Linked DNA regions of Pelodiscus sinensis. The protein of the gene in region 1 binds, or shares a complex with, the protein of each later gene. Links are inferred from orthologs where the notes say so. Each region holds a gene or a part of one and is shown on either strand. Other genes may lie near its edges.

Region 1 (16,174 bases):
GGGTGTGTCTGGCACAGAGTGAGCTGCATTTCCATTGGCAGAAAGAGCCGAGAAGTGGCACCGGCGGAAAGAGCCAGCGTCTCTCTTCTGCCCAGGAACAGGAGTGACGTCCCCTGCTCAGTCCCTGCCGCAACCCGCTGAGACTTGTCAGCTCTAGGGGAAGAACTGCCCAGACAGCTGCTTGATCGAACCCGCAAGGGGAAGAGATCCACTGAAAACGTGCTACCTTGCTTTCCGGGTGTCTCACTTTAGCAATACCAGGAAACAACATGGACAGAATCCAGCAGAACCTGGCAGTCTTGTGCATGGACAATGGTAACGATTTCTTGCAGGCCACACGCACAACCTCAGTGGACCACAGGCAACCCACCGCTGTGCTCAAGAGAAACTCCAGCACGTCTCTTCCCCCACCTTCTGATTGTCCAGTGGAAACTCAACAGCTATTTGTCTGGGAGCTGCAGAGCCTGTGGGAGGGTTGTCAGAGGGCTGTTCGTGGGGACAGACCCCCACCGGGGGAGCGGCAGAGCCTGTGGGAGGGTTGTCAGAGGGCTGTTCCTGGGGACAGACCCCCAGTGGGGGAGCTGCAGCAATCTGCCTTTGGGGCCATTTGTTTGGGATTAATCCCAGATTCTTCTTCACCTTTGTGCCTAATGAATCCATTTATGTAACGGAGATTCATTAGGGATGCACATGCAGAGCCGCTACCCTGTGCTGTCCTGCACATGTTGCCCTCATGCCTCCTGCTACCGGGGGGAGCTGAGCTGCTCCCGCCCACCCCCAGAGAGCACATGCAGGGGAGGGCATGGCCTAGAGCAGTGGCCACCCACCAGACGACGGGCTCTAGGGGTAGATCCTGGTGCCTCAGGTGATCCTGATGGGAGGAAATAAGGTTGATTTGACCCAATTTGCTCTTGGCAAATCCACACTGGCGGTTCGTTATTGCCCCACACCGCTCAGGTCCTTAACTCAGTGGAGTTTTGGAAAATAAAATTCAAGTGTCCCTGCTCCATGTCAAGCACTGGTCTGCGTGTGTCGGACGAGGGGCTCAGTTGCAGGCTGGCTGAGGGAGAAAGGACAGCCCCAGCAGCTGGGGGCCAGGCGAGAAGTGGGCAGCCAGGGGACAGAACGCTTGTTTCCCGGCTAGGGTAGGTTCAGGTTTGTCTGCCCCTGCACTCCCCAGCCAGAGTGAGGAATGCAGCACCTGTGCACTTTCCCCACTCCCTGATGAAGGGAGCAGCCAGCAATGTTCCTGTACAAATCGGGGGGAGGGAGCTTCAGCCCCCCCACTCCCTACAGGCCACCTAGCGGGTGGGAGGTGTTCCCCTGAAAGCCCCTTGCACCTGCCTGCTGATTCCGTCTGCTTCTCAAAAACCAATCCTATTCCAGGCACAGCCCGTTTTCCTGGCACAGCCAAACCCTTGCTTTTTAAATAAGAGGAAGCTGCATCCCAATGTGGTGGTCCTGGCTCTTAGCGCTCAGTTCTTGGACAGACCCCCTCAGACATACAGATTGTTCTCCAGGCGCTGTGTGAGCTCCTGGTGGAGACAGGAAGCAGCAGGAAAAGCGGAGGGCTGGAGAAAGAATCAGGGAAGGGAATTTCGGTCTCATTCTCTGGTAGGAAACTATTGACAAGTTACTTTGGGAAAACCACTCCCTGCAGCCAGAGCACCAGCCACTGCAGGCAGAAAAAGCCCCGTTAAGAGGAGGCCACAGGGACTCCCTCAAGCTACTTAGAAAGTGTCCCCAAAGCCCTCCTGACCAGAGCCCACCAGCCAATCACCCAGGCCTTCTCTGTGCACACAATGGGTGGCAGGGAGATCATCTGCTTGCACGGGAACTCCCTTATGAACCCGCGGGAGTGGCTGGGCACCTCCCTCTCCTCTCCGCTCCGCTCCCTGAAACAAGTCAGTACAGACAGAAGCTAAGAGAAGGTTCCGGACCCTGCCCCTATTGGACACTACCAGCTGCAAGTGGCCCCAAAGCAAAGTCATTCAGGATGCCAAGAGGCAAAACTCCAGCCACTAAGTCCTCTGTTAATGGTATTTCTTCGAACACTGGTGCAGCACATGGTCTCTCCATGGAGGGAGATGGCTCGGGGAGCTGGGCCATAAATCTCACCTAGACCAGGCTCTTAGAGACCCTGAAACCTGCAGAAGTGATGGAGGTTCTGGCCCAAACCCCACTGCTCAGCTACTACCACAGGGCCATGCTTCGTCTGTCACAGCACGTGAAATGTAGACAAGCCTGTAGCCACAGGCATCACTACAGTATAGGGGTGTAACTGTGGCCACTTCCCAGGCTGCTGTCTGCCTTGCAGGGAGCAATCTCCAGTACAGCACCCCATTCACCGAACGAGGTGCTAAGTCAGTTTCCTTTCATCCTCAGCAGCCCTTCCCCATTTGTGCAGAGGTAACCTGGCACTTTGCATGTTTGGAACATTCAGCGATTGCTCCCCACCCCAACAGGGCCTCTCCCACCTCTCCACTACCTGCAGTGGGAATGAATACACAGTGGGTGCACCTAGACTGGCAAGATTTTGCACAAAAGCATTTGCTTTTGCACAAAAACTTGCCAGCTGTCTACACTGGCCACTCGAATTTGTGCAAGAACACTGACTTTGTAATGTACAAAAATCAGTGCTACTTCCACAAATACTTACACGCTCCTGCTCGGGAAAAAGCTCTCTTGCGCAAGAATACTCACGCAAGAGGGCCAGTGTAGACAGGGAAGAACTGTTTTGCGCAAAAAAGCCCCGATGGCTAAAATGGCGATCGGGGCTTTCTTGCACAAAATCGCGTCTAGACTGGCCGCAGATGCTTTTGCACAAAAGCGAATCTTTTGCGCAAAGGCACTTGCCAATCTAGACACGCTTTTGCGGAAATACTTTTAACAGAAAAACTTTTCCGTTAAAAGTATTTCTGCAAAATCATGCCAGTCTAGACGCAGCCAGTGCTTTTTGGGTGAATGGATCACTCCAATATGGGAGGGGGCTGAGAAGTGCTTAAAGTGGAGGTCAGCAGGTCACAAGGGGTCTCACACCTGGCCCAAAAACCTTTAGTCAAGCCAGGATGCATTTTAAACACCACCTTAGCAGAGCTGCTGCTCCCACAGCACGACAGGCACCCCGCTTCCATCAGAACATGGTAAGCACTGGTGCCCCGGGCTGTGCGCTATACGCAAGAGGTACCAGAGCGCTCCCCGGGGAAAGGCTGAGTGTCTCATGCACAGACCTCGCTGCCAGCTCTCAGGAAGAGCGGGGATTGTTTGACGGGCCCCAGGAATACAGCTTTGCTGTCAGGGATGCAGACACCACCTCCTCATCGAGCTAGAGCCAGAGATACGTGGCTGGTTTATTTGAGCCCGGTCGGGCGGATTCTTCTACTTGCCAGTAAGAGCTCCTCCAGGTTCCAAACACGCTCAGCCCCACCCAGGTCCTTTGGAGCTGGCACCTGCTGCAAACCCACACAAGCCCCCATCCCTTGTCTAATCCCCTCCCCACACAACATGAAAGGGTCTCTCCTAACTGAGCTGCACAGGAGGCCTGGTCAGGGTCGTGGGCGGCGGCAGTGGCCCTAGAAAGCAGACTTGGAGAGTTTGGCAGCTGTCTTTGTAAGGCAACTGCTCACACTAGCCCTCGCGCCAACTCATCTCGCCTGACTGTGTGTGGGCTGCCACCTGGCCGCAATATCCAGAGTGTATGCATGGGGGCGGCGCCACCTGCTGGTTCCACACCAGAGCAGCAGCTTTGTAGAGGCGGAAGAGCGGCCTTTCCTCCAGCAGCAGCATCCGCATGCCCCAGACAGGGGCCCTCGCTGATGGCACCTCTCTCTGGCTCTGTGCCTTTCTATCCCCAGGCTACATGCACACAGGAACATGGAGCTGCTGGGCCCAGGCGGGGGGGCAGGATGGGCATTCGTAACTGTCCACAGCCGTTGTGCGTCCACACGCCGACCGGCAGGGCAGTGCTCTCAGGTGGCCCTGGCCTTCCCTGCCCCCTTTAAGTCTTGTGACGTTTTAAATGAGCTGAACTGCTCCAGAGGCCACCAGCGGGGCGATGGTTTTGTATCGGATCAGATGCTGCGAGCCCTCCTCCAGGTCGATCACATATTCCCTGAAGGGGGGGGGGGGGGAGAGAGAGAGAGAGAGAGAGACAGACAGGGTGAGGGGGAAGGGCAGCAGCAAGCCAAGCACAGCACTGAATGGAAACACACCAGGGAGGAGAGAGGTGGTGCAGTCTCCTGCAATGGCCACATGACTGGATCTGGCCAGTCGGAGGGGTGCTGCTCTCCCCACAGCTGACGACGCCCCTTCGCTCTTCCCAGCAGGAAGCTGCGCGGTGTACAGGGAGGGTGGCATTTCTAAGGCATGTGCATCTCAGGGCACAGCAAAGCAACAGGCCACCTACCTCTGCTCATCTGTCTCTGGCTCCACCAAGATGTTTTCTTGCCTCTCCTGCACCCTCAGGAATACGAAGGCATCCAGGTTGGGTTTGGGAACTGCAAGGAAAGTGACGCACTCAGAGCCCTGACAGCTGGAACAAAAGACTGAGCACCATGCACCACAAGCCACTCCTGTGAACAGTCTGCTCCTCTTCGAGCCCTTCATACTTGGGGACACAGAGCAATGTGGGTCAGCAGCACCAGCAGCGTGGACATCACAGGCAACCAGCTGACCCCCAACACACCAGCCAACACGCACTTGAGACGGAAGGAGAGCCAGAACACAGACCAGTGAGAGCAGCCTCGGGAGCCCCCTTGTCACCCATAGGGCATTCTAGGAAAGAACCATGCGAACATAAGCCCACCACCTTCTAAAGGACCAGCAGCATGGAGAGGGCTAAGCTCAGACACCAGCGTCTTTCAAGCACTCGCTGCAAGCTGTCGAGGACTTCAAGGCTCATGCAGGGTGAGCCCCCAGGGAGCTGGTGCTAGAATCCTCATGCCTGGTGCTGCAGCCAGGTTTCTCTTACCCAGTCTCAGGAGATCAACCTTCTGCAGGTTGGGAGGCATGTGTTTCAGGGCCATGTTTTTCAGGTAGGTTTCTGTGTTCGCCATGTACCTGAAACAGACCTTACTGTCAGTGAGATCTTGGCAAAACCTGCTGGGTCACAGCTGACTCCAGCTGCCGTCATAAGACCAAAAGGAAGTCTTTCTTCACATAATGCAGAGACAGCCTGTGGAACTCCTTGCCAGAGGATGCTGTCAAGACCAAGACTGTAACAGGGTTCAAAAAAGAATTAGATACAATCATGGAGGATAGGTCCATCAATGGCTATTAGCCAGGATGGGCAGAGATGGTGTCCCTGGCATGTTTGTCAGGGTTGGGAATGGGCGACAGGAGGGATCACTGAATGATTCCCTGCTTGGTTCACTCCCTCTGGGGCACCTGGCATTGGCCACTGGCAGAAGACAGGACACTTTGGTCTGACCCAGCAGTTCTTAGCCTGCTGCTCCAGGGCAAATCCTTCGGTGCCCCAGGGTACAGCCTATCTCCAGGTGAAGATGACAAAAGGCAGTGAGGTCTCTTCCAACCGGCAGGAGCTCAGGCAGCAGAGGGAGCTTTTCTAGCACAGCTTAGCAGGTGGCTGAAGCGAGACTGCCCGGGCCAATGGCTTGGCCACAAACTGCCAACAGAGGGTGGCCCGGAGCCAGGAGAGGAAGCTCTGCAGCAGGAAGTGGCTCCTTTCACCACTCTGCCTTGCACAGGGAAAGAGGCAGCTGGTTAGACACCAAGATTGATGGAGGCTGAGTGGGGCTCTTTTTTCAACTCCTTCCCAGGGTGTCAGGAACACTCAGGGCCAAACTGCCAGCTTCACTGCAGGCCCAACAGAGAACAAGGAAGGTGTTAGCTGGTCAGTAGAGGACAGGGAGGATCTACATGCAGCCTGTGCAGCAGAAAGGAAGATCCAGAATGTATACAATCCCAGGTCTCCAGGCCTAGCCTGCAAAGTAGACCAAGACTTTGCTCACCCCACTGTCCAGCCCTCCTTCCACATCCACTCACTCTTTAGCAAAGGCAAACTCCTCTGGAGAGAGAATGGAAGGCTCTCCTTCTGCTCGGGACTTCTCCTTCTCCAGGATATGGGGAAAAAACTTCTCGATCTGCCAGGAGAAGAAAATCCCCAAAGAAGCGTCAGCTGGGATTGAAACAGAGTCCTGTTATAGGCAGCTCCTGACCTGTACAGGGCTGTCTGTGCTGGAGAGGCAGGATAACTATGGCATTTCCAGGACCCTGTCCTGACCTTACCTAGGTCGAGGAACATGCTCACCGCATGTGCACTGTGACACTCCCCCCCCCCCCCCCCCCGTCTCTGAGATACCCTCTCCCCAGAACAAGGTGCTGTGCTTGGCACCAATGAGGAATGAATTCCTCAGGTGAACCTTATGGTCACTCTAGTCTAACCAAACATGTCAAGGGTCTGTGACTCAGAGTCCTGCGCCAAAGCAATCTGCTTTCAGAATACGATGCCTTCAGCCACTCCCGGGAGTCATGTCCCACACATAGCACAGCAAGGTGTTACCTTTGCAAGCCTGCAGCGCAAGTAACTGCTGAGGACATAGCGGATTCTCTCAATCTCCATGCGGTGGATGCTGACCTTCAGATCTCCGTGCTTGGCTCGTTTCAGATTTGACTCCTGCCAAAGGGGCACATTGGGGGAAGTCAGACTGTACACACGCTCAACAGTTAATGGCAGAGAGGCCAATGTCTGCAGAGCTGTGGGGGAAGAGCCAGATTGCAGCTGCCTCTTGCAGATAGAGCCCGGGCACCATGCACGCAGGTTACCATCTCTCTCTGCCACCTGGGGAAGGGAATCCAAAAACCTGACGCCAGATTTTGCAGCATATGTGGGTTTTGGAAAGTAATGGCCAATTTTGTCATCCAGGCACCTGCAAGTCTGTCTGAAGCAGGAGGTTTACGCCCCTCTGGAGCGCACAGTTGAACAAAGAGCCAGGAGATGGTAAGCGGTGCAGCCCCCGCTGGCTGGCATCATGCTACAGGGCTTACAGAATGGCAGATGAGCGGACAGCTACTAGCCTCTGTGACTGACAGCAAAGTGCCAGGAGCATGGGGAGCTCGCAACACATCCACGCCAAACCAACAGCACTTGGGCAGAGCGCAGGGATGCTCGCAACTACCCCCGTCGTGTGGGGGTACTGGGGAGAGGGATGGCTGGAGGAGCACGGGCGGGTGCTTCGGCACAGAGCCCCACATGCTGCCATGCCCGCAGTGGGGAGTTCGGTAAAGCCGGCCCGACTCCGCCCAGCCATTCCCAACCACGGCCCCCTCTGTGCCCCTGGACACGCACCATGTGGTCCAGCTGCTCCATGACACATTCCACGATTTCAGACTTGCTCTCCAGTAGCTCCGGGGCAAACTTCTCATTCAGCCAGGCCTGAGAGCACAGCAGGGCGGTGAGCCACAAGCCGACCTGACAGCCAGCCCCCTGCCCTGACCCACCACCCGCCTGCCCCCCCGTCACCCCCCAGCCGGGAGAGGACCCGGGAATCTGCCCCCCCCTCCCCCCAGCCGGGAGAGAACCCGGGAATCTGCCCCCCCTCCCCCCAGCCGGGGGAGGAGCCGGGAATCTGCCCCCCCCTCCCCCCAGCCGGGGGAGGAGCTGGGAATCTGCCCCCCCAGCTGGGAGAGGAGCCGGGAATCTGCCCCCCCTCCCCCCAGCCGGGAGAGAACCCGGGAATCTGCCCCCCCAGCTGGGAGAGGAGCTGGGAATCTGCCCCCCCAGCTGGGAGAGGAGCCGGGAATCTGCCCCCCCTCCCCCCAGCCGGGAGAGAACCCGGGAATCTGCCCCCCCAGCCGGGAGAGAACCCGGGAATCTGCCCCCCCAGCCGGGAGAGAACCCGGGAATCTGCCCCCCCAGCCGGGAGAGAACCCGGGAATCTGCCCCCCCAGCCGGGAGAGAACCCGGGAATCTGTCCCCCCAGCCGGGAGAGAACCCGGGAATCTGCCCCCCCAGCCGGGAGAGAACCCGGGAATCTGCCCCCCCAGCCGGGAGAGAACCCGGGAATCTGCCCCCCCAGCCGGGAGAGAACCCGGGAATCTGCCCCCCCAGCCGGGAGAGAACCCGGGAATCTGTCCCCCCAGCCGGGAGAGAACCCGGGAATCTGCCCCCCCAGCCGGGAGAGGAGCCGGGAATCTGCCCCCCCCTCCTCCCCCCAGCCGGGAGAGAACCCGGGAATCTGCCCCCCCAGCCGGGAGAAGAGCCGGGAATCTGCCCCCCCCCTCCCCCCAGCCGGGAGAGGACCCAGCCGGCTGGCCCCGCCCCCAGCCGGCTGGCCCCGCCCACCTGCTCGAGGCCGCCGAGGAGCTGCGCGGGGGTCAGCACCAGCTCCTCGCTGCTCCCGTCCGAGTCCAGCTCGCGCAGCGCCGGCCCCGCCGCCATCCCGCCCGCGCGCCGCTCCCGCCGAGGCGCTGACGTCAGCACGCTCCGCGTGGCGGCCGGGCGCCTCCTCATGCATATTCATGACCCCACCTCCTGCAGCGGCTCAAAGGGGTGGAGTCGCCCGGCCAGACTCCTCCCCTCCCCCGCCACGCCCCGCCCCCCCGCGGCCCCCGGGGACCCGCAAGGCCGGGCAAGAGCGCCCGGGGCCGGCCGGAGGGATGGAGGCGCGTGTGGACGGACAGACGGACACGGACAGACACGGGCGGGCGGGCGGGCGGGCGGACAGACGGACACAGGGGCGGGCGGACAGATGGATGGACGGGCGGACAGACGGACACAGACAGACACGTGCGGGCGGGCGGACAGGCGGACACAGGGGCGGGCGGACAGACGGACACAGGGGTGGGCGGACAGATGGATGGACGGGCGGACAGACGGACACAGACAGACACGTGCGGGCGGGCGGACAGACGGACACAGACAGACACGTGCGGGCGGGCGGACAGACGGACACAGACAGACACGTGCGGGCGGGCGGACAGGCGGACACAGACAGACACGTGCGGGCGGGCGGACAGACGGACACAGACAGACACGGGCGGGCGGGCGGACAGACGGACACAGACAGACACGGGCGGACAGGCGGACACAGACAGACACGGGCGGGCGGGCGGAGAGCCAGATCCCGGCACACACGGACAGCGCGGCACGGCAGGACAGAGGGGCGGGCGGCTGCAGGCTTGGGTGGACAGACACACGGCCAGCGGGGCCAAGGACAGACAGCGGCTCTAGCGATCACACGGGGTAAGTTTTCTGACTCCTCTGTACAGATGCCCCAACACTCCACTTTGATCCCGCCAGCTGCAGGTTTGTTGGCTACAAGCTCCGGGTTCTCCGCAGGGGCCCCAGGAGCAGCCCGAGGACACCCAAGTTGAACGCTCAGACATGCTGCATTCACGCTCAAGCCTCTCCAGGGTGGTTCTGGGCAGGCAGGTGCTCTCAGAGAATAAGAGGCCTGGGCCACTTTGAGTTTAGAGGCCCCAGCCCCTCCCCTGTGTCTAACCTCTCATTCACAGGGTCATCATAAAACCAAAAGAATGTATGAAAATAAACAACTGAAACGTTAATTTATTAACAATTCAATCCTTATACCAGTAGCATGTATATTAAAAATGGCGAGCAGTCCTGTGGCACCTTAGAGACTAACTGAAGTGTTGGAGCATAAGCATTCGTGAGCAAAGACCCACTTCGTCAGATGCATGTAGTGGAAATTTCCAGAGGCAGGTATAAATATGCAGGCCAGAATCAGGCTGGAGATGAGGAGGTGGATCCAATCAGGGAGGATGAGGCCCACTTCTAGCAGCTGATCTGAAGGTGTGAATTCCAAGAGAGGAGAAGCTGCTTTTGTAGTTAGCAAGCCATTAACAGTCTTTGTTTAATCCAGAGCTGATTGTGTCAAACTTGAAGATGAACTGTAGCTCAGCAGTTTCTCTTTGAAGTCTGGTCCTGAAGTTTTTTTGCTGCAGGATGGCTACCTTTAGATCTGCAATTGTGTGTCCAGGAAGATTGAAGTGATCCCCTACAGGTTTTTGTATGTTGCCATTCCTAATATCTGATTTGTGTCCATTGATTCTTTTACGTAGGGACTGTCCAGTCTGGCCGATGTATATAGCAGTGGGGCATTGTTGGCACATGATGGCATATATTACGTTGGTAGATGTGCAGGAGAACGTACCAGTGACAGTATGGCTGATCTGGTTAGGTCCTGTGATGGTGTTGCTGGTGTATATATGTGGGCAGAGTTCGCACCGAGGTTTGTTGCAAGGATTGGTTCCTGAGTTCGAGTTATTATGGTGCGGTGTGTAGTTGCTGGTGAGAATATGCTTCAGGTTGGCGGCTTGTCTGTGGGCAAGGACCGGCCTACCCCCCAAGGCCTGTGAAAGCGAGGGATCATTGTCCAGGATGGGTTGTAGATCACTAAGGATGCGTTGGAGAGGTTTTAGCTGGGGACTGTAGGTGATGGCCAGTGGTGTTCTGTTGGTTTCTTTCTTGGGCTTGTCCCGTAGCAGGAGGCTTCTGGGTACACTTCTGGCTCTGTCAATCTGTCTCCTCACTTCCTCGTGTGGGTATCGCAGTTTACAGAATGCTTGTTGAAGATCTTGTAGGTGTAGGTCACTGTCTGAGGGTTTGGAGCATATGCGGTTGTACCTCAGTGCTTGGCTGTAAACAATGGATCGTGTGGTGTGTCCAGGATGGAAGTTGGAGGCATGCAGGTAAGTGTAGCGGTCGGTAGGTTTTCGGTATAGGGTGGTATTGATGTGACCGTCACTTATTTGTACCGTGGTGTCCAGGAAATGGACCTCCCGTGTAGATTGATCCATGCTGAGATTGATGGTGGGGTGGAAGCTGTTGACATCATGGTGAAATTCTTCCAGAGTCTCCTTCCCCTGGGTCCAGATGATGAAGATGTCATCGATGTAGCATAGGTAGAGAAGGGGTGTAAGTGGACGGGAGCTGAGGAAGCGTTGTTCCAGGTCAGCCATAAAAATGTTGGCATATTGTGGGGCCATGCGGGTGCCCATAGCAGTGCCACTGGTCTGGAGGTATATGTTGTCACCAAATCTGAAATAGTTGTGTGTCAGGATAAATTCACAGAGTTCAGCCACCAGTTGTGCTGTGGCATCATCAGGGATACTGTTCCTGACAGCTTGTACTCCATCTGCATGTGGGATGTTTGTGTAGAGAGCCGCTACATCCATGGTGGCTAGGATGGTGTTTTCTGGAAGATCACCAATGCATTGTAGTTTCCTCAGGAAATCAGTAGTGTCACAGAGGTAACTGGGAGTGCTGGTGGCGTAGGGTCTGAGCAGAGAGTCCACATAGCCAGACAGTCCTTCAGTGACAGTGCCAATGCCCGAGATGATGGGGCGTCTGGGATTTCCAGGTTTGTGGATCTTGGGTAATAGATACAACAACCCTGGTTGGGGCTCTAAGGGTGTGTCGATTTGTTCCTGTGTTTGTGTAGGGAGGGTCCTGAGCAGATGGTGCAGTTTCTTAGTGTATTCCTTAGTGGGATCTGAGGAAAGAGGCCTGTAGAATTTGGTATTGGAGAGTTGTCTGACAGCCTCCTTTAGGTAGTCAGACCTGTTCATGATGACAACAGCACCTCCTTTGTCAGCCTCTTTGATTCTAATGTCAGAGTTGTTCCGGAGGCTGTGGATGGCATTGCGTTCTGCACGACTGAGGTTACCAGACAAGCGATGCTGTTTTTCCACAATTTCTGTCTGTGCACGTCGGTGGAAGCATTTTATGTAGAGGTCCAGACTGTCATTTCGGCCCTCAGGAGTCCATGTGGAGTTCTTCTTCTTGTGCTGTTGGTGGGAAGGTATCTGTGTGTCAGTGCACTGTTCAGTGTTGTGTTGGAAGTATTCCTTGAGACGGAGACGGTGAAAGTAGGCTTCCAGATCACCGCCTGGTATATTAAAAATGGCTACCCCTCTGGTATATTAAAAATGTAACTAATTGTGAGTTTCCACTGCAAACAAAACTCTTCATTTTAGGAATGTTTTTTTGGTTTTATTGTGAGCAAACTTGTTTATAATTGAAGAAAAATCTAATGTATGTGCAACATCACTATTAATGTTAAGCACTGCGAGCCCAATTCAAATGCTCATCTCATTGTAGAATGATGGTAGTTCTTTACTTGGTGTAACATGTTGAATGTGCATTCACCTGAAGCCACTGATGCAGGGAGACTGATAAAAATATGTAATGCAATTGTGATATTAGGCTGAGATTGAACATTTCTTGAAGCATCTATTTTGGCTTGCAGTTGGTGGAATGCATATGATTTAAAGTTAGTGGAATGTATGTTTCAGGAAGACTCTGTCATCACAGAGATCTCTTGAAATTCCATTGTTGTACCTTCGTTGAAACTGTTCAACTGCTGAATATAGATCTTCATCACTTCATTCTTGGAACTACCAAAGGAATCCCAAAAGGGTACAAATTTGTTGCAGTGACTCAAATCGACATGTAAGACCAGATTTGATGGGACTCAATAACAAAAAAAATTTGGCTTAATAGTGCCTTTCTGCATCAGACTGAGATGTTAGACTGCAATTCGTGGAAAACTCAGATGAAAAGTTAATAGCCTGTGCTACTGATTTGGACTCAGAAAGGATTGCATCACTTTGATCATGAATCTTTTGAGTATCTTTAAGAAATCATTCAGTGTTATCCCTCTCAACATCTAATGTAGCATTGTGTGCTTCAATTTCAAGATTAGTTTCATGGATCATTTTTAGCAGCTTCATCCACATGGACAACATTAAAATGCATTCAGATTTGGATGTATACTTCTGAATTGACTTACAGCACAGACTTGCCCTGAGTTTAAGAGATTCAAGCTCACTTAAAGCTTCTCAGAGTCCAAATGCTGTGCAACTGACTTAATGCCATCAATTCGTGTTAATCATCTCGTTGTCAAAATGACGTGAAGCAAAACAGGCAGATGCTGCTTCAGAATTTCCCACTTTCAAGGACTGCTACTAAAGAAGTTGTACAATTGCTGGATTGTTCCAAAATATGTGATTGCTTCCTTGCATGATTCAGTGCAATCAGTGCTGACAAGATTTAGGGTATGTCTTCCCCAAGATGCTGCTCTGTCCTGCTCTTTCTCTCTGGGCTTTGAGGCCAGGCTCTCCACACAGCCTGTGCCTGGTTCTTCAAAGTTTGGTAGCCATTTGTGGCTAGTCTTGTCTCTGGGCCTGAGCCAGGTTTAAAGTTCAGCTTGCACTTGGAGCTGTCCGAGGTGCTGTTGTCCTCCCAACCTAAGCCTGGCTAGGTCAAGCTCCAGTGAGGAACTGCCAGGCCCTGGCCCAGCAGCTTCTTTATATCAGCCTGCTGGGCCCTGATTGGCTGCAGCAGAAACAGCTAGTCTATCCTGCTTGGAGGACCTCTCTTATGCTCTTCTCCATGGGGCAAGGTGGGGCAAGGCCTCCAGCAGAGAGCATCAGGCCCAGTGCACCCCGTCACAAGTCCCTATAGCCTTATTTCAAAGTCTTGAAATTTTAACATGTTCCCACTATTAAATTCCTCTAATAACTGGTGCATTATGAATATGAACATGGGGCAATTGCCAGACTAAGTATAAAGTTTATTAAACAACTAGAATTAAAAGTTTATTATACCAAAAAAAGCCTTTAAAGATTAATCTAAAACTGGACAAAGAGGTAGCTTACAGCTGACCTGATGTGGTTATTGTATACAAAGACACACAAGAAAAAACAGGAATACAAAAAAAATCTCCTACAGAGATAAACATCTAATTTAAAGGTTAAACTCACTCTCAGACCAAGTAAAAATCACTTCATAGGAACAATTAATTACAACTTTCAAAACCTCTAAACTATGTAAAGCCTATTAACAGCATTTCATAATGTAGACCCACTAATCTCAGAGGCTACTCCCATCTCCAGTCATGCAGATGAAAACTCAGATGTGACTGAAAAATTGGTGAAGACCCAAGATCCCACAATGATTTAAATAATTTTTTGCAGTTTATTTTTATATATATAGCGCTTCTTTTGTTGTCTGTTATAACTTCAAGGTGTATAATAAATGGAAATAACTTGATAAAAAATGTCAACATTTCAGTTGTCTCCTGAGGCCCAGGCCAAATGGCTCTCTTGCCGCCACTCCCCCCCCCCCGCCCCCGCCCCCGCCCCATAGGGCCTGTGGGTAGGTCATCATAGCAAACATTCTGTTTTTTGACCTTACTGTCTTCCATACAGGGAGGGGCTTTGCTATCTTCTAGAAACCTTCACACAAAACCAAGAAATGGTCATGCAGCACCTGAGAGAGTAACAAAAATGTTGATGGTATCATGAGCTTTCATGGTCACACCCCACTTCTTCAGATTCAGACTTTTAAGTTACATACTAACATGGCTAAACGCTATTCAGAGAGAAACCTATTTATGATTTCTGGATTGTAAAATATCCAACCTATCATTTATTCAGACATACAGAACAATTTTTACATTTGCTGAACTCCCTTGCTGTTCCTACTTTTAGGGAACAAACGTCACAAACTCTTGGAACTGCATCCAAAATTTGTAAATATCATCCAGTTGTAAGCAGTCTTATATAAAATACATTGATGTGCCCAGCCTGAGCTACAGTCAGCTCAGACATAGAAACATGTTGATTGAAACCTACATGGGCTCAACATGAGGTCATAAGAATGGCCATACTGGGTCAGACCAAAGGGCCAACTAGCCCAGTGTCTGGTCTTCTGATAGTGGCCAATGCCAGTTGTCCCAGAGGCAATGAACAGAACAGGAAATTATCAAGTGATTCCTTCCTTGTTACCCATTCCCAGCTTCTAACAGTCTAAGGACACTCTCTCTGCATCCTGGCTAATAGCCATTAACGGACCTATCCTCCACAGCATTATCTAGTTTTTTTGAACCCCATTAAAGTCCTGATCTTCACAACATCCCCGGCAAGGAATTTCACAGGTTGACTCTGCATTTCATGAAGAAATACTTTGTTTTAAACCTGATACCTATGAATTTCATCTGATGACCCCTAGTTCTTATGGGAACAAGTAAATAACTTTTCCTTATTTACTCTCTCAACATCAGTCATGATTTTATAGACCTCTATCAACTCCCCCCAGTATCTTTTCTAAGCTGAAAAGTCCCAGGCTTTTTAATCTCCCCTCATGTGGCAGCTGTTTTAAACCCCTAATAGTATGTGCTGCCCTTTTCTGAACTTTTTCCAATGCCAAGATATCTTTGAGATGAGGCGACCACATCTGTAAAGGTCTGATCACTAGTATTGCTGATAACATTTTATTTGTACAGAAACAAAAATCTGATGCTTTAACAGAAAGTAGCAAGTCCACCCTCATAATGCATAACATTCATTAGATTAATAAGGTAGCTGTGTAAGGGTATGCATCTTTTAGAATCTTGATGAGCAGCCACCTGTTTTACTGAGGGAGTTATTACTTGATTCATGTCAGTACAACAAAGTACAACGCAGACACAGTTTATTTAAGAAAAATTTACTAATCCATTAATATTTCTTCAAAATTATTGCAACAGGTCTGAAAAAGCAAACACACTGTTACAGCTTAGAAAAACAAGTATTTGTACAGTTAAAATATTAAACAAGACTCCAGGAAAAATAATCAGTGTATGAGGAAATTAGATCTGGAAGCTTTGACCCAGTATTAGCACCTACAGTACCACTGAAAGCAGAATACTCTGTTCTGGACAGTTGTCTTGTTTTGTAAATCCCTTAATTCCTTCCACAGGAAAGGATGATAGCTCTTAAAACAGAAGGACTCTGCTAATTTATGGCAAGGCTAGATAGAGAGTTCCCTCTAATAAGGGAGAAGGAAACAACAGAAAATTACACCAACTTGATTTGTAGGAAGTTTTACTCAGAAGATGCCCAAGTTATTTTAGCAGATGTTGCCAAGGAATGTTAATGCACAGGAAATACGACATACTGCAAAGGTTTACTCTTCAGCAGTTTGCCAGTGACTATCTTATATACTGCCTAGTACTTTGTCAAATCAAGTGTTCCTATAAATTATTTTAATAAAACAAGAAAGTTTATTACACTTCACATATTAAACATTAAGGGATAGTCGGGATGGTTACACGTATTGGTTCAGCATTCATTTTATTGTGCTTACACAGCTTAATGAAACAAGCGATAGAGCATTTCCTCTTAGGAATTTAGGACAATGCAATAACAA
Region 2 (16,110 bases), on another chromosome or scaffold:
TGGCAGGGATGGGAAACTTTTTTTGGGTCGGGGCCACTGTCTCTCAGAAAAATCAGCAGGGGCCACACAAGTGAGAAGCAAAAAAAATAACCCTTCCAAAAAACCCCAACCCTCACTGAATGTGACCCCCAACTGAAACACCTCATTTCCCTAGTACTCCAGCCCCATGGTGGGGTGGGGGTAGGATGTGCAGGGAGGACTGAGGTTCAAGGTCTCATGCCAGATTAACTCTTCCGGCGTTCTAGGGTTAGTGGATTTTGTGGCCCCCCCTAGGCTCTGGTGTGGGGCCAAAAATGAGGAGTCCAGTGTGTGGGACAGAGCTGTCACTGAGTGGGATATGGATGAGGGTGCAGAATCTGGGTGGGAGGTAGGGTGCAGGAGCAAGCTGGGTGTAAGTGTCTGGCCAGAGGGGAGGGGAGGCAGGAGCAGGGTGTGGGTGGGTGTCTAGCCACGGAGGAGGCAGGAGCAGCTTGGCTGGTACCTGCTGGTCTTCAGGGACGAGTATCTCTTGGGCAGGGTCTGCAGGCAGTGCTGGAAGAAGCGTACGTGCCACTCCTTCAAGAAATCCAGCCACTCCTCATCTCCAATATCTAGAACCTCTGCTGCCATTTTAACCTCCCCCCACTCCCAGCACCTGCAAGCTCAATGTGCATCACCCCCATATCGGCACAGCTGGGTGCACTCTCTGGTGCTCATCAGGCAGGGAAGGCCACACAGCTCCTGTGTCCTGCCTCCCCAGAGCACAGGGGAAGGTAGGGTGTATAAGGAAGCGTGCACATGCTTCCCTGCAAGCTGGATCTGGCATGCAAGAAGCTGGCACTGGCTCCGATCTTGCGTGGGGGGCGCAATGCTCGATCGTCATTGTGGACTCTCTGTTGTGAGAGGAGGACGGGGGCTGAGCTCAAGCTGCGAGCCATATTTGGCTCTTAAGTGAGCCACAGGTTGCCAACCCCTGTCCTAGACTGTGAGAAACTGGAGGAGGCTATTTGTAGAAGAGTAATGCTACAGGGCCCAATGGAAATTAAAGCAGCTGGGTGCTGTTTAGATGCACATTAAGAGTCATTCCCCATTCCAAAGAGTTAGACAAAGGGACACAAACTGGAAAGCTCAGAGTAAAGAAATAAAATAGGTTAAGGGAAAAGGGATTGACCGATGGGGAAAGATTTTAGACATTTAAATAGTTATGTACCAAACTAAGCCTAAGTGGGGACAAAAGTCTAAGAGGCTATAATACAAAGGAAGAGAAAACCTATTTACATATGAATACAGAGGTTTAGTTAGGGTTAGTGGAAAACTAAAAAAGGAAAAGTGTAGGCTGAATAGCAGGGAAAGCATCCTGATGCAGATTTATTAGCCAGTGTCCCTTGGGAGACTACAGACCGGAAGTCATTTTCAACCAAAGCTCAGATTTCCAAAGACACGTAAGAGACTGGCACATTTCTGCTCCTGTGCATTTCTAATGGAAACTGGGCATCCAAATCCCTCGGAATGGCAGCTTTAGGGAGCCCACCCTATGTGCTTAGAGCCATTTTCACGACCCCCTTATTTATGCTGAATGCACCAATACACTAGCCCTACTGACTTTACTGGGGCGACTGTGGAGGAAGGTATTACTCAGAGCCTGCCTACATGTATAGTGCTGCATTGCATCTGATAAAGACGCTCTATGCCTGACAGGAGAGAGCTCTCCCATAGGCAAAGTAAAACCACCTCTGCGAGCGGCAGAAGCCATGATGGCAGGAGCAGCTCTCCTGTGACATAACACTCGCCACACTCGCATTTATATCAGTGTAACTTGTTTCACTCAGTGGGGTGGTTTATTCACCCTCTGGACTGACAGAACTTCTGTCAAACAAACAGCAGCGAAGACACAGCCTCAGTGTGAGAAAGTGTATCGTGACATGGCTCACTGGGAGGAGCAATGCACTCATTGGGGGACAGAGAAGGGTAATAAATTAAATGGATCAGATGACCAGGAATGTATTTGATTTTTACACGCACAGAGAGTAAGTGTTGTCTGGGGACTGAACAATTGAAAGTATTAGTAAAAAGCAGTCTTCTTCAACTGGATGCTCCCAGAAGGAAGGATCATCTATTTTTAAGGCTCGGGCCACGCAGAGCACCCCAGTGGCACTCAGTGACTCAGCAGTGCTTAAGGATTTCTGTGATGGTAGGGAGGGCATTTTGAGATGCATGAGTGTGACTGTGCCCTTTAAGTTCCAGGGTGCAGGGAGGAGACTGTGCTTCAGTTACACTATTCTGGTCATTAACATTTGGCCTTAACCACCCTTGCCCACCACCAATGTGGACCTGGGCAAGGCCTTCAATTCACAGATAAATTAAAAGTCATCACAGACTAATTCATGAGCACAGAGGACTCTCCATCCTGCAGAGGGCTGGATGACTGTCCTCTAGATCCCGGCACAGGACACCCAGTGAGACCTAACTTAGTCTCCCCACCCTAGCCACGACTCCTGAAAGGATTCTCATTGCTTACGTATTACACTTCCTGGGCAGTGCATAACCCTCCAGGCCGGGGCGCACGGCGATGTTGTTGATGGTGTTACGGCAGCTGCGGCACTGGATGGCAATCTTGGTGGCTTTGGCTCTCACAGCAGTTGCAGCAATTACGATCCCGGGGATCTTCACCAGATGGGACATCTGTTCAGACTGAGAGAGAAGAGGTTGGGAAAGGTAAGGAAACATCTTACACATGGAGAAGGGAAACCTCATCATGGCAGCGGGAAAGGAAAGCACAGCAGCCTTTATGCACAGAGTTGCCAGGATCATGGTTATGATGCTTTGTGGGCAGCTTTCCCTGTGTTGCCCACAGAGGGAACCAAGAAGAAGTGTTTGGAATTAACATGTACATCCCTCTAAACACACCTTCCTGCAGCATATTTTTGCTCAGTAGTTTGGATCCATACAATAGCCTGCCAGCTGAGTTTAGAACGTGCTATGAGTGTCACCTTAATAATGGTGCTCTGCTGTATCTTGGCTCAAAGGTCTGTTACCTCTCCAAGCCCTTCTGCCGAAACACATTAAGGCTCCAAGCCATGGCGTGCATCTCAGGGAAGCAGACTCATGCAGACAAGGCACTGAATAGCCTCACACCAAAGGGAAGGGACTGTGGCTTTTTTTTTAAACAAGATGCTTCATTATTCTATAGATACGTCTCTTGATGCATTTTGCACTGATCAGAGAAGTTTGTGATGAAGAATACAGTGTTCCTCAGTAAAACCCTCAGAGACACAAAAATAATTCTCACCATCTAATGGACAGATGAGAATACCCATCCACTGACATCCCCAAAATTGTCAACAGAGCCATTAAGATCTGATGTACACAGTTCTGGAATCAATTTAGCTATTTCAGATAGGCAGAATATTTTACTGAAGTCATTACAGAGATATGAATATACCTGCACAAAGGTGCTAAACTTATGGGAATAAACATTGTCATGCCTAGAGCAGGGGGCTGGACTTGATGACCTTCTGAGGTCTCTTCCAGCTCTAAGGTTCTATGATTCTAAGCTATAGCAGTCCAAGCACCTTTATTAACGTAGCTACACTAGGAGGCTTTAGCTATGTGACTCAAACCAATGTTCAAATGGCACAATGTTCAAGTGTGTAGCACAGCCCTAAAGTTAGCAAATCCCATCAAATGTAGTGAGTTGAATACGTGCTGTCTGGTGCAGTTTCATCACAGTAAGCAGAGCAGAGATGGATCAACCCCCAAACCATTTATCCAACTCACTCCTTGATCTGAGCCTTGAGTAAGTCATCGGGCAACCTAGGCTAGTACATGGGCTGAATGAGAGACTCTTCATATCAGTAGACTGCAAGATTTTTGTTACCAAGATGGTCTTCTAGGATAGGGTAGTTTTGCTAAGGTGCTTGCGTACCTAGAATTTGCAGAATGTGCCAACTGAACCACAGCAATGCTTTGAATGGATGCAGAGAGAGCACACAACTCTCACAGTCAATGTTGTGTGATATCAGCACTCACCTCACTTCACATGCCCTTGCTTTAAATGCATGTCATTTCAGTAATTCTGGTAGGAAAAAAACCCTAAGCAAAGAGAAACCAGCAAAACTGTAGGCAACAGTAAAAATGTTTTGTGGGCCACACAAAGAACCCTGATGGACCGTGTGTGGCCCTCAGGCTGCAGTTGGCCGCCACTGTTCTAACAGCTCTCACCACAATCAAATTCACCAGAGGACAACTACTGCCCCCACTGCTCCATAGCATGGGTGGATTCAGCTCACCTTCAGACTACGGATATTGGCCGGATTGGCATCTGATCTCAACATGACTTGGACATCTTGAAGTGTCTCCTCTCCTGCTGGGCGAGGACGGGTGACCTCATCTGCCACTTCCTTTGCCGCTTCCTCTAGCTGGGGAGAGAGAGGGAACATCACAGCTCAGGTTATCACTCTCACAAAGAATTATCGGGGCTACTGGTGTCAGCTGACTGCCCATGATTAGCTGGCAACTTGCCAGTTCTAAGGCTACTCTTACAGTAGTTCTCCATGTCCTTCTTCCCATGGTATTCCCCATTCTTACCAACTGCAGGTGCTCTGCAGGCTGCTTATACAGGTAATCTGCCAGGTCCTCATCAAAGCTGGCCAGGTCCTCCATCTCCACCTCAAGCCAGTACTGGCCAAGGTTGTAATGCCGTTTGAGCTCATCCCTGTGAGGCAACAAGGAGTTCAGACTTGAAGAGCAGAAAGCACAGTGCAATTCTTAACAAATGCAAGTAAATCAGCAGGACCAGGGCAGTGAATCAGCATAAAGGGGATCCTATAAATTGTTTGAAGTGACTTGATTAAGTTGGAAGCAGAGTAGATAAGTTTTGTAAGGAGGCTGCTGGACAGATTTTTCACAGGGCATCCAAATCCGCTTTCTAAAACTGCCCAGTTCTAGTCCGAATATGCTTAGTGTCATTGTGCTATCAGAGTTACAAAGACAGTTTACATACTTCTAAGCATAAGTAATCAGGTCTATCACACCCAAAGTTTGAATTTTAAAAATGCATGATATAATAGCAGTTATTAACATTCACTTTAAAAATCAGAATTCAGGGAAATAAAAGATGAAAGGTTGGCTATTTCTCAGTCTCTGGGTGATCTGCACTCATTTTTATTTCCATGCATTCTGCAGATAATTAAGTACTTATTCAATGTTTTATAAAAGAAAAGAATCACAAACCTTACAGTTCAAAAATATACACAGGAAGTAGAAAAATATTTAGTCCACAGAAGGATCTTCACAGATTTCAGAAGACATTGGATGAAAAACTGTTACATCCTTACCTTAAAGAGAAACTCAAACCAAACCCTGGATCTAAACATTCTGAAACATCAAACTCGGAACTTGAAATTCAGGGCTAGAGCCACACTTTGCAGTGTGGGCCCATGGAAGACAGCTTAGTACTGTGAATGGGGCACAGGACAGGGAGTCAGACAACCAGTTTTCATTCCCTGATCTGTGATCCTGGGGAAATCACTGCGCCACTCAAGGACTCAGTTTCCCCAACAGACCAAACAGTGATGATGACACTGACCATCCTGTGAAAAGTTGTTTGGCATCCGTAGTTGAAAGTGCTCTGTGAGAGCCTGTGCACAGCTACAAGGAAAGCAAACAGCTGTTCCTTCAAAAGGAAAGGAGAAAGTAGATGGCTAAACACAGAGTTGGTGAGAAGGGCTCCTTCTCTGCCTCAGCAGCACCTGTATTTGAAGGTGAAGCCAGACCGGTCTGTGCCCACCCGGTACTGCCTCAGGAACTCCTTGAACCGCCTCTGCAGCTGGGATTTCCGGACCTGGCCCTCATCTGCCGCCGGGTCACCCCCAAAGCTGTCGCTGTAGTAAATGCCGGGATCGTCAAAGCCGGACATGGTGAAAATTGGCTCCGCCGCCCTGGGCAACCTGCAGAAAGAGGGAAACGATCAGTCCAGCTCCCCAGAGAGCGCTCCCCTCCCACGCGCCCTGCAACAGCCCCAGCCGCTCCTCAGCCCGGGGGGACCCCCCATCCGACCCCCTTCAGCCCCAACGGCAACCGACAACCGAGCCCCCCGACCCTCAGGGGGTCCCACCCAACAGCCCGGGCGGGGCGACCCCCCCATCCGGCCCCCCCAGCCCCGACCCGACCCCCTGGCTACGACCCCCCCATCCGACCCGCCTTGGCCACAAGCCCCGAGGCGACCCGCCGCTCCCGCTCCCCTCGAATCGGCCCCGCGCCAGGCACTCGCGGACCAGCCGGTTTTCGCGGCAAAACTTGGCCGCGGGGGGGGGGGGGGGGGGGGGAGGGGGAAGAAAGAGACTACAAACGTACTGAAGTCATCGGAAGCGCGCCTCCCTATTGGCCAGCCTGAAACCTGACGCCGGGGATTGGCTCCGCGACCTTCCCTCCTGGCCTGTCGGAACGGGAAGCGGGCGGCGAGTCGCCATGGAGACGGAAGAGGATTGGAGGAGGCGCCGAAGCCCCGCCCCGCTCCCCGCCTCCCAGTGTGGCCAAGCGCTGTTTGGCGCGAAAACCCGACCCGAGGGACGTGACAAATGGGAGGGGGATAAAATGGCGGCCGCGCCCCCCCACCCCGGTTCCCAGCGCTCTGGGGCGGCTCCGCCAGCGCCCGAGCGGCCCAGGCTGGCAGCGCTGCTGGGTCTAGAGCTGCCGCCGCCCCTGGCTGGACGCACCAACGAGCCGCCCCACGTGCCTGGTCCCCGCAGCAGCCCCCTCGAGAACCCTCCTCCGGTGCATCCCGGCCCCCCCCGCGCGCCTGTAGCCCGGCCCGGGCCCGCGACGTGCTTCTGTCCTGCGGGCAGTTCCAAAAGGAAAAGCGAGTCCCGGCCCCGGAGCAGCGTCACCTCCCCCTGGCGCGCTCTGCTGGGCCCCGGGCAGCTGACTCCCTTGCGGAGCTGCAGGGAGCGGAGGTCCCGCTTGCACCCGGGCGGCTGGGACTCTGCTCCAGCAGCAGCCGTGCTGCGGGAGCGAGTAGCGCGCCCCGGCGGCAGAGGCTGCCAGCAGCTGGGCGTGGAGCCGCGTGGCAGGGCCCGCAGGGCAGTGGATCCCGAGCATGGAGCAGCAGCGTCCTCAGCGGGCAGGTTGGGGGAGGGCTGGAGCTCATGGGGCGGCAGAGCCCGCAGCTAGCCGGGCTGCCGGGAGCTCCGCGGGGTGGTAAGGCTGCTGCAGCTTGTAGGGTGGGAGACTGGGGAGAGAAGCCCAGTAGGGAGCCTTGCACCGTCCTCCCTGGTGTCCAGCAAAACTCCCTTGTCCCAGATGGGTGAGGTCTCGAGGGTGCCAGACCAGGGAGGTCCAACCTGTACTTCCAGGAAGACTGGTGTGGAAAAGCATGTGGTTATATTACAAGTTTACAAACACTCAGGTAAAGCAGCGGTGAAAGTAATTAAAAGTGTATTACAGGTACTGTCCTATTGCAACCTGGGTTCCTGCCTGCTCTTGAAATAGCTCCCTGCTGGCTTTTGCCAGCTCTTGCCAGAGCTGCACACCAGGGTGCGCCAGCTTACTTTCACCTCTGGTGTAGAGAATAGTACTAGGATTGCCAGACTAAGGAGTCTCCAGGAATTAAAGATTAATCTTTAATTAAGGATCATATGTGATGAAACGTCCAGGAATACATTCAGGGAAAATTGGCAACCCTAAATAGTACAGGAACTTCAGGGGGTGTCTGAGTTAGTCTGTTGAGTTAGTCTGTTACGGGGGAAAAAAAACCAGCAAGCAAATGGTCTGGTAGCACTTTATACACTAAGAAAACATGACGCAAGCTCATGATACCATCTACATGTTTTGTTAGTCTATAAAGTGCTACCAGACCATTTGCTAAACAGTACAGTGTGCATGAATTCTTCTAACTTGAATAATAGATTGAGGGGAGAAGACCAGCTTCAGTTAGCTTTCCTGTGGATTTTTTTTAATACACATGAAGGCTGTGTCTAGACTGGCAAGTTTTTCTGCAAAATCATCTGCTTTTGTGGAAAAACTTGCCAGGTGTCTACACTGGCCGCTTGAATTTCCAGAAAAGCACTGACGATCTCATGTAAGATCATCAGTGCTTTTCCGGAAATACTATGCTGCTCCCATTCGGGCAAAAGTCTTTTTCCGAAAGACTTTTGTGCAAATGGGCCAGTGTAGACAACACAGTACTGTTTTCTGCAAAAAAGCCCCGATCGCGAAAATGGTGATCGGGGCTTTTTTTGCAGAAAACCGCGTCTAGATTGGTCACGGACGCTTTTCCGCAAAAAGTGCTTTTGCGGAAAAGCATCCTGCCAATCTAGACGTGCTTTTCCGAAAATGCTTTTAACGGCAAACTTTTCCGTTAAAAGTATTTTTGGAAAATCATGCCAGTGTAGACGTAGCCGAATTGTATTTGCTTTGTTGTTAGGCACTTGCTGTACTATTTAGTCATTGTCTGTATTGACTGTCCTAGTACTCTTTCCAGTGCAGTAGGTTTTGTTTGTAACTATAAGGTAAATATAAGGTAGATCCTCAGTCTTTGCTGTAATCTCTTCTGTTGATTTACAGTGAGGCTGTCAAACCGAGGCCTTTTATCAAATGTAGCTTTTACCAGATCTAACTATTGGAATAGGGCCTTTTACCAGAACTTAGTTCACTTTTTAAAAGAAAGAAGAGCTCTCATAATATCCTCCCACACATACACACTGCATAAATAATTAAGTATTTCTATGAACTTCTATGTATTTCAAATTAGAACATATTTTAAAAGTGCCCATCCAGAGCCCTACCTCTTTGCCAAAAAATAAAATAAGAAAACCCAGAAATAGTCATACAAAAAGACCACCTCCACTCCATGCCACCAAGACAAAAAAATAACCAGCTGCAATAAATCAAATCCAACCAATACCCAAACATCAGTCCTCATTATTGTGACTCTCTTCCCTCAGAACTCAGGCTGTAGAGATTGACTTCATAATATGCCCTGAAGATCAACATCCAAGGTACATAAAGGCTGTGTCTAGACTGGCCAGTTTTCCGGAAAATCAGCCACTTTTCCGGAAAAACTTGCCAGCTGTCTACACTGGCCGCTTGAATTTCCGCAAAAGTACTGACAATCTCATGTAAGATTGTCCGCGTTCTTACGGAAATACTATGCTGCTCCCGTTCTGGCAAAAGTCCTTTTGCGCAAAACTTTTGCACAAAAGCACCAATGTAGACAGCTGAGATTTGTTTTCTGCAAAAAAGCCCCGATCGCGAAAAAGGCGATCGGGGCTTTTTTGCGGAAAAGCGCGTCTAGATTGGCATGAACGCTTTTCCGCTAAAGCGCATCGTTATAACGCGAACTCCGCGCCAATCTAGACGCTCTTTTCCGAAAATGCTTTTAACGGAAAACTTTTCCGTTAAAAGCATTTCCGGAAAATCATGCCAGTCTAGACGTAGCCAAAGAGTTTATTTTCTCTAATATCTCTCAGAACTTTAGTCAACTTGATTATATTAGACAACTACAACCTGCAACTACAATAGCTGCTAGCCAGGCATCCAAATTCCATCCAGTGAAAGGGGAGGTGGATAGAGAACTCTTTGCATAATTGTTACTCTTTTTTTGGTCTGCTCTAGGGTTGGGCAATAATTTTTGACAGGAGGCCACTCCAAGATTTTGGAAAGCGGTTGAGGGCCGTACTCTTTGATGATATTAGTGGAGCAGATGTGGGGTCTGGGATGGAAGATGGGTGCAGAGGGGAGCTTGGGGTAAGGAACTGGGGTGCAGGAGGGAAAATGGAGTCTAGGAAGGAGTTTGGGTGAAGGAGGCAGTTGTGATCTAGGGTAGGGAACTGAGATACAGGAGTTTGGGATATGACATGGGTAAAAGGGGTTGTGATCTAGAGCAGGTGATTGGAGTGCTAGATCTGGGAGTGGGTATGGCTGCAAGAGGAGGACAGAGGGTTTGGGTATGTGGGGGGGAGGGGGCAGGGAGGTGCTGGAGTGCCAGAGGCAGGCTGTGGCCAGGAGACTTACCATCCAGCAGCCAACCCAGCCTGCCTAGCTAAGGCTTACAGAGCTAAAACGTTTCGCAGCCAGCCATCCTGCCTGGCCATGTGCTTCAGTGAATAACTGAGACGAGTGGAGGGGGCATGGTTCTTGGCTGCTTGTTATTCAAACAAGCAGCTGCCATTGGCCGGTTTCTCACCAGCTATTAGCCCAAACTAGCTATTGGGATTGTGCTGGGAGTGGGGTGGCTCCTGAAGCTTCCTCCTTCCCTTCAGGTTTTGAAACAGAAAGGAAGCCTGGCAGCCACATTTCTGCGCAGTGCAGGGAAAGCAGGGGAGCTTGCCTGGGGCTCCCCACTGCCTCAGAGGGCCAGATCTGGTGGCTTGGTGGGCCAGATCCAGACTGAGCTGTATTTTGCCCAGGCTTGGTCTACTCTGTATAATTAAAAGTCAGTCTGTTGTTATCACCAGGACTAACTTCTTGGTTTTTAAATATACCTCTTTTTCCTGAAACCACAGTGAAATTCTCAACCAGGTAGTATGAATGGATTTGTGATGGGCCAGGCCCTCATGAGTGGTGTAGGTCAGCACAGCTACACTGAAGTCAACCAAGTGGCATCATTTCACACCAGCTGAGGCTCAGGCCCAGGAAATGTGGAGAGGTTTTGACTCACCAGCTGTTTCCTTTAATGTCAGAGACATTTTATAATTACCAGTACCCTGCTCTTACTTAGAGCTTTTCATCCTTAGATCTCAGAGTGTGTTATGCAGATGGGGAAGTGTAGTTACCATAGAAAGTCTCTTAACCTGCAGTCACACAAAGAATTGGCATCAGAGCTGGGAACAGAGCCCAGATCTGCTTACCCTCCATTCTGTGCCTCATGTCAATTTTATGAGCATGCAGCAAGCCCCTCCCAAAGCATAAGAGAATCAGCAAAAGGCTTCCTCCCCCACATCAGACAGGCACTAATCCCAGGAAACACAGCAGAGTCACCTTACATTGAAGTTTATTGTTAATGTATAAATTGTACAGACAGGACACAAGGACAACACTGTTCAACAACTGCATTCTGCTATCTAAAAACAAAATTGACCTGAGTCATGATTGGAAAAATAGGCTATAAGGGGCTAATAGTGTCATATAAAAAAGTCTGTAATCCGAGGGGAGCCTGAGAACTCCACAGAAGAAATCTTTGCAGTACCAGGCAGCTGCACAAAACACTGACAGAACAAAGCACCAGTAAGGCTTTTTCCCCCAGGCAGCAGGGAAGCTACCAAACCTATATTTTATATCTGGGGCTCTTTGCAGGAACTGTCTGAAGCAAGGCCAGGGGCCAGCCTTGCCTTTCAGGATTTTTTTTTTTTTTGCCTCAGCTTTTTGGCAAAGTTCAGTCTGTGGGTTCAGAAATGCTTTCAGCACAGGTTGGAGAGAATTTGCATGAGCCTTCGGAGTCCTCTTAATCCACTAGCAAAGTGTTAGTGGCGCAGCCAAGATCAGAATGTCCAGGAAGAGGGCTGGTTGGGTGGTATTGCTCATATCACACGGGGAAGGTGTGTTAGGTTGAGGAGGAGAGGCAGGAGGGCAAAGCCTAAAGTCCTTTCTCTTCACATGGCAAACAAGCCCACAGCAACCGTTGTCACGAGGAAGCTGAAGGCAAGAATCCACCGTACCAGTGGAGTGCTAGGCAGCATACCAGTGTGCGTCAGTGATGTTTTTTCACCTTCTTTCACAGGAACTGGCCCTAAAAATCAACAGAAATCAAATATGTAAGAGCAGGAATCAGGCTAGGAAGGGTTTGCTTCTAGGTTAGTTTTATATCCATTTCCAAAGGTGCACTGCCCCTGGCACATGAACTGAAGCCAAAGTGAGCAATAGCACAGGATAATGGTGGATGGTTACACCAAATGTACACCCCAAGTGGGTGGCTAGTGAGACACAAGGTCAGTGGTCAAGGGCCTTCAGCTAGTTCAGAAGGCTGGGTTTGTGGTTTAAAATCTCACGTCCCTCCCAGGTGTGTGGTATAATAACCCTCACTGCCCTGCAGGTGTACTTTATAATCTTTTTTCTCCATGCTAGATGTGGAGGGTAGCTTGCCATTGCTGTAACTTAATGCATTTTGGTTCCTTTTGCTTTTTGTAAAGTCTCAAATTTGGTACAACGCCAGGCTCCTGCTGTTTCATAGGAACAGCTTAATGCACTGTGTGGAGAAAGCCTAAGGGTTGGTTAAAGCTTTCTTGAAGAGATGTGAAAAGATTTTCCTGGGAAACATTAAAATATTATTTCATCTCCTCCCTGGCCTTGCTTCCAGAACAAAGCCAAACCTTTTAGATAGTCTCCAGCCTTGTTTCCCCCAGCTAGCCTTCATTCCCTGGCTCCAGCCCTACTTCATGTCCCAATATGAGTTCTGCCTCAGAAATCAGTCCTCGCTCCCACTATACCTTGCCACAGTCCACTCTATTCCTTCTTAGATCTGTGTGAGAGCAGTATATAAAGTCTGCTGAAGCAGGGCTCCTTTATCAGATCTTAGCAGCGCTGCCAGCTGCCAAAAGAGCGTGCACAAGAATAATGGGCGTCTCCCTCTCTTCCTGGATATCTCATTGTATCTTCCTGGATATCTCATTGTATCCCTGGCCTCTCTGAACCTCACACACTCATTCAATAGTCCCCAATAAGCTCCTTCAGCAACTTCTAGCAGTTGCAGAGTGCAGGTAACCATTTGAAACATTAAAAAAAAAACTTTAGGGTGGGAAGATGCATTAAAATTTCTCATGCCATTTCTGTGAAAATTATCCCATGCTTGAACGTGTAGAGACCTACAAGGGTGAAGTTGAGAATAACATTTCTCATGCTGAAATGAAGCTAACCCAACTGAATACCTATGAAAGTGCTGCTTGCTTGTTTCAAAATCTTAGGTTCCAAGGAGAACTTTATCTTAACTACACATTCTCAGATAAGTCACTTTCTCCAGTAGAAATCTGGAAGCAACCTTTGCTATGGAATAATTACTCTGACCCTGCAATAACGGCATGGTTTGCAATACCTTTGAACCTTCCCGTGTCATTCCTACAATGGCAGCATTTTGTCAGTAGATGGAGCCATGTCGTTCTAAAGTTAGACTAGAATGCTGAGCATTTGAAAAATAGCTGCCCCGGGATACTGCAGCCACAAGATCTCAAGCCCAGGAATGAGTAGTTCTGACTGTGCTATATTTCATAGCAAGGAAATGCAGCAGACACCACATAAAAGCATTTGCCCAACACTCAGGAGAAGAAAGAATTTTCTCTTGCTTTCCAGAAATATTCACTGACCACAAGCACGAAACGTTTCAATCCACAAGACGGATCTTTGGCTAGGTCTTCATGTCAACAGGCTTATAATGCAAGAGCTTCCTCAGTCAGGACTGTGGCACTGATCATTACTGTGCTGCACTGGGGCCAAACCATCAGCCTTTAGTCCTGGATGCACTCAGTTGGGCCTAATTCTCCTGTTGCTTACACAGGTGTCTCTCCAGTGAAGCCATGGAGTTATATCATTGTAAAACCAGTGAGGAGAGGAGACTCGGGCCCATTAATTGTTAACCTTCTTAACTGTCAATTTTCCCATCTGCAAAATGAAGATATTGATACCGCCCTCCTTTGTAAAGCACCTTGAGATCTACTGGTGAAAAGCACTGAATAACAATGGTACATTTTTATTATTTCTGCAGAGCTCACAAGCCCCGACATGTTTTGGCCTCCTTTTATGGCTCTCGGTAGTAGTTTCCTCACACACATAGCTGCCACACTAGCCAACACTAGGGGAGTGTAAATAGAGAAGCCCCAGGAGAGCCGGAGCAGCCTCCTCACCACTCAGCAAGGGAGAGGGCAGGGAGGGAGAAGGACAAAACTCTGAAAACTGGCTTTAGGAAGGTTCTTACCATGCTCATGTGTTCTGCTGGTGCCTCTTGTGCGGAGCTCTGGCTTCTGTTGTGCAGCAGGGTGACCGTTCTCATGTGGCTGGGATACCAGTTTCTGCAGCTCCTCAAACACCTTGACAGCAAAAAACATACAGTTCCCTCATTACTTGGAAATGTGGTCTTCTCTCCTCCATGAGCCCCTTCTTACAGCACAAAACATTTTGGGAACTAGAGGACGTATCCAACCACTGATCCTTTGTGTCTTTCCTTCTCCAGAAAGGAGACTGCCTAAGGGTATCTTGTAAACACCTTGCTTGTTTAATAGTATAAAGTGGGTGAAATGCTTTCCCAGGGCAATTCCATAGGAAGTTGAGCCCCATTGTTCAGCCTTCAGATCAGAGGGAAATCTGGGTGTGTGCATTAGTATGGAAAAGAGTGGTAAGGGAGGGAGAAGATACATGGAAATATTAGGGTTGGAGTGGTGGGCTCTAATTCCTGTCCCCTCCCCTCTCCCCAATAAATGCCCATGTTCGAACAAGAGCAACAAAGAGCCTGCAATCAAATCCTGGAGAGGATCTGTTGCCCTGTGGGGAAAAAAGGGCATTCTAGTATCGAGTCTCTTGGGAGGCTCATAAAAGCAGCTGTCACATAAGAGAAGTTCAATACTGGCTCCTTTCAACTCACAGCTTCCCTTCAGCTATTCAGTACAAATGCTACCTGGCCTATGCTCAGATAGCAGCTGTACCTTAAGTGGGAGAGGCCGGGGGGAGGGGGGGAAATGCAGACTACGTACCTGTATATTCAGCAAGAATGCCCGCTTGGCTTCCTCCAAGACTCTCTTCTTCATGGTTGGATCCATCTCGATGGAGTTCATCCGGGAGCGGTACAGTTGCTTGAACTTTGTGGCACTGGACACCCCTTCAAAGGTGAAGAACTCCAGCCCTTCTCCAGTACTGGGCAGGTGGAGAACTTTCTGGGCAATCTTCTTTAACACCTGCCCACCAGACAGGTCTCCCAGGTACCGAGTATAGGCATGGGCCACCAGGAGTTCTGGTTCATGTTGGCCCACGTAGTGGAGCCTATCCACATATTTTTGAGTGGCCTCAGGACATGAGATGTCTTCCCTCCACGATGGGCCATAGAAATACTCTAAGTCTTGCTGCAGGGCAGCATTACGGTGCAGTTCTGATGGGAAGTAAACGGCACTAAAGGCTGGGTGATCCTTGTTACGCTCAATCTCCTCCTCCAGAGCAGAATAGATGTAGTAGAGAGAAGCCATAACCATCTGTGGTAAAAGGGAAGGAATAAATCAGCGACAGGGTCTCTCTCCCCCCAGCTTCAGGTGCACTTCTTGTCAATACAACATATCTGCATATAAACACTGTGTATGTGTCACTGGTTATTGTACCATGTCATCCCATAGTCCCTTCTTTACTAAGGCAGGGTCCTTGGGATCATGGAAATTAGAGGCTGAAGAAACATATTAGGTCACTTCTCAGCTATTCTTCAGCACACAGACCCCTTCCCTTCTTCCTCTCTTCCCACATGCAGGGATGATTCCCAAAGGTACATTCTCCAATGCACTGTTCAGTTCTGATTGTCTCCAGAAACTGGAGGTCCTATCCCTTGACATACTGTGACAACCTTTTTACTTTATGATCTATTCACTCAATGGGCAGACCTCTGCTCAGACACCACGGATATTGGAATTGCAGCCCCTGTCTCTTCATTCAATAAGTAGGGTGGCCACTTTCACGTGCGTTGTCTCAAGGGATATGTCTAAACTACATGGCTCCGTCGACAGAGCCATGTAGATTTGTTTGTTTGGCAAAGGGAAATGAAGCCGCGATTTAAATAATTGCGGCTTCATTTAAATTTACATGGCTGCCGCGCTGATCAGCTGTTTGTTGGCTCAGTGCGCTAGTCTGGACGCTTCCCTGCCGACATGAAAGCCCTTTATCGACCTCCCCAGTAAACCTCATCCTACGAGGCATAACGGGGAGGTCGATAAAGGGCTTTCAGGTCGGCGCGGGAGCGTCCAGACTAGCGCACGGAGCCATGTAAATTTAAATGAAGCCGCGATTATTTAAATCGCGGCTTCATTTCCCTTTGCCGATCAGCCTAATCTACATGGCTCCATCGATGGAGCCATGTAGTTTAGACACAGCCAAGGAGTCTAGGCAGGAATGTCTTTTCAGAGATAGTCAGCTAGTATTAGGGATGTTAAATTTAGATTAATTGGCTTATCGAAT

The links.
Region 2: GINS4 (region 1) and MCM5 share a complex: the UniProt entries of both Homo sapiens proteins name them as parts of the CMG helicase complex. The link is inferred for Pelodiscus sinensis from reciprocal best matches to the Homo sapiens genes GINS4 and MCM5.

Annotation. Positions count from the first base shown.
Region 1 is NC_134738.1:16,499,848-16,516,021, reverse strand, and holds GINS4 (DNA replication complex GINS protein SLD5), read right to left. Parts: upstream 8,436-16,174; 5' UTR 8,399-8,435; coding exon 8,303-8,398; intron 7,394-8,302; coding exon 7,307-7,393; intron 6,635-7,306; coding exon 6,521-6,634; intron 6,102-6,520; coding exon 6,004-6,101; intron 5,059-6,003; coding exon 4,970-5,058; intron 4,497-4,969; coding exon 4,406-4,496; intron 4,112-4,405; coding exon 4,015-4,111; 3' UTR 3,321-4,014; downstream 1-3,320. UniProt on the Homo sapiens protein: Required for correct functioning of the GINS complex, a complex that plays an essential role in the initiation of DNA replication, and progression of DNA replication forks.
Region 2 is NC_134711.1:94,040,074-94,056,183, forward strand, and holds the start of MCM5 (DNA replication licensing factor MCM5), read right to left. Parts: upstream 6,883-16,110; 5' UTR 6,867-6,882; intron 6,416-6,866; 5' UTR 6,334-6,415; intron 6,289-6,333; exon of another isoform or gene 6,177-6,288; intron 5,928-6,176; 5' UTR 5,897-5,927; coding exon 5,730-5,896; intron 4,694-5,729; coding exon 4,567-4,693; intron 4,398-4,566; coding exon 4,269-4,397; intron 2,671-4,268; coding exon 2,498-2,670; intron 1-2,497. Other genes in the region: HMOX1 (heme oxygenase 1), read right to left, coding at 11,568-11,704, 13,880-13,991, 14,652-15,143. UniProt on the Homo sapiens protein: Acts as a component of the MCM2-7 complex (MCM complex) which is the replicative helicase essential for 'once per cell cycle' DNA replication initiation and elongation in eukaryotic cells.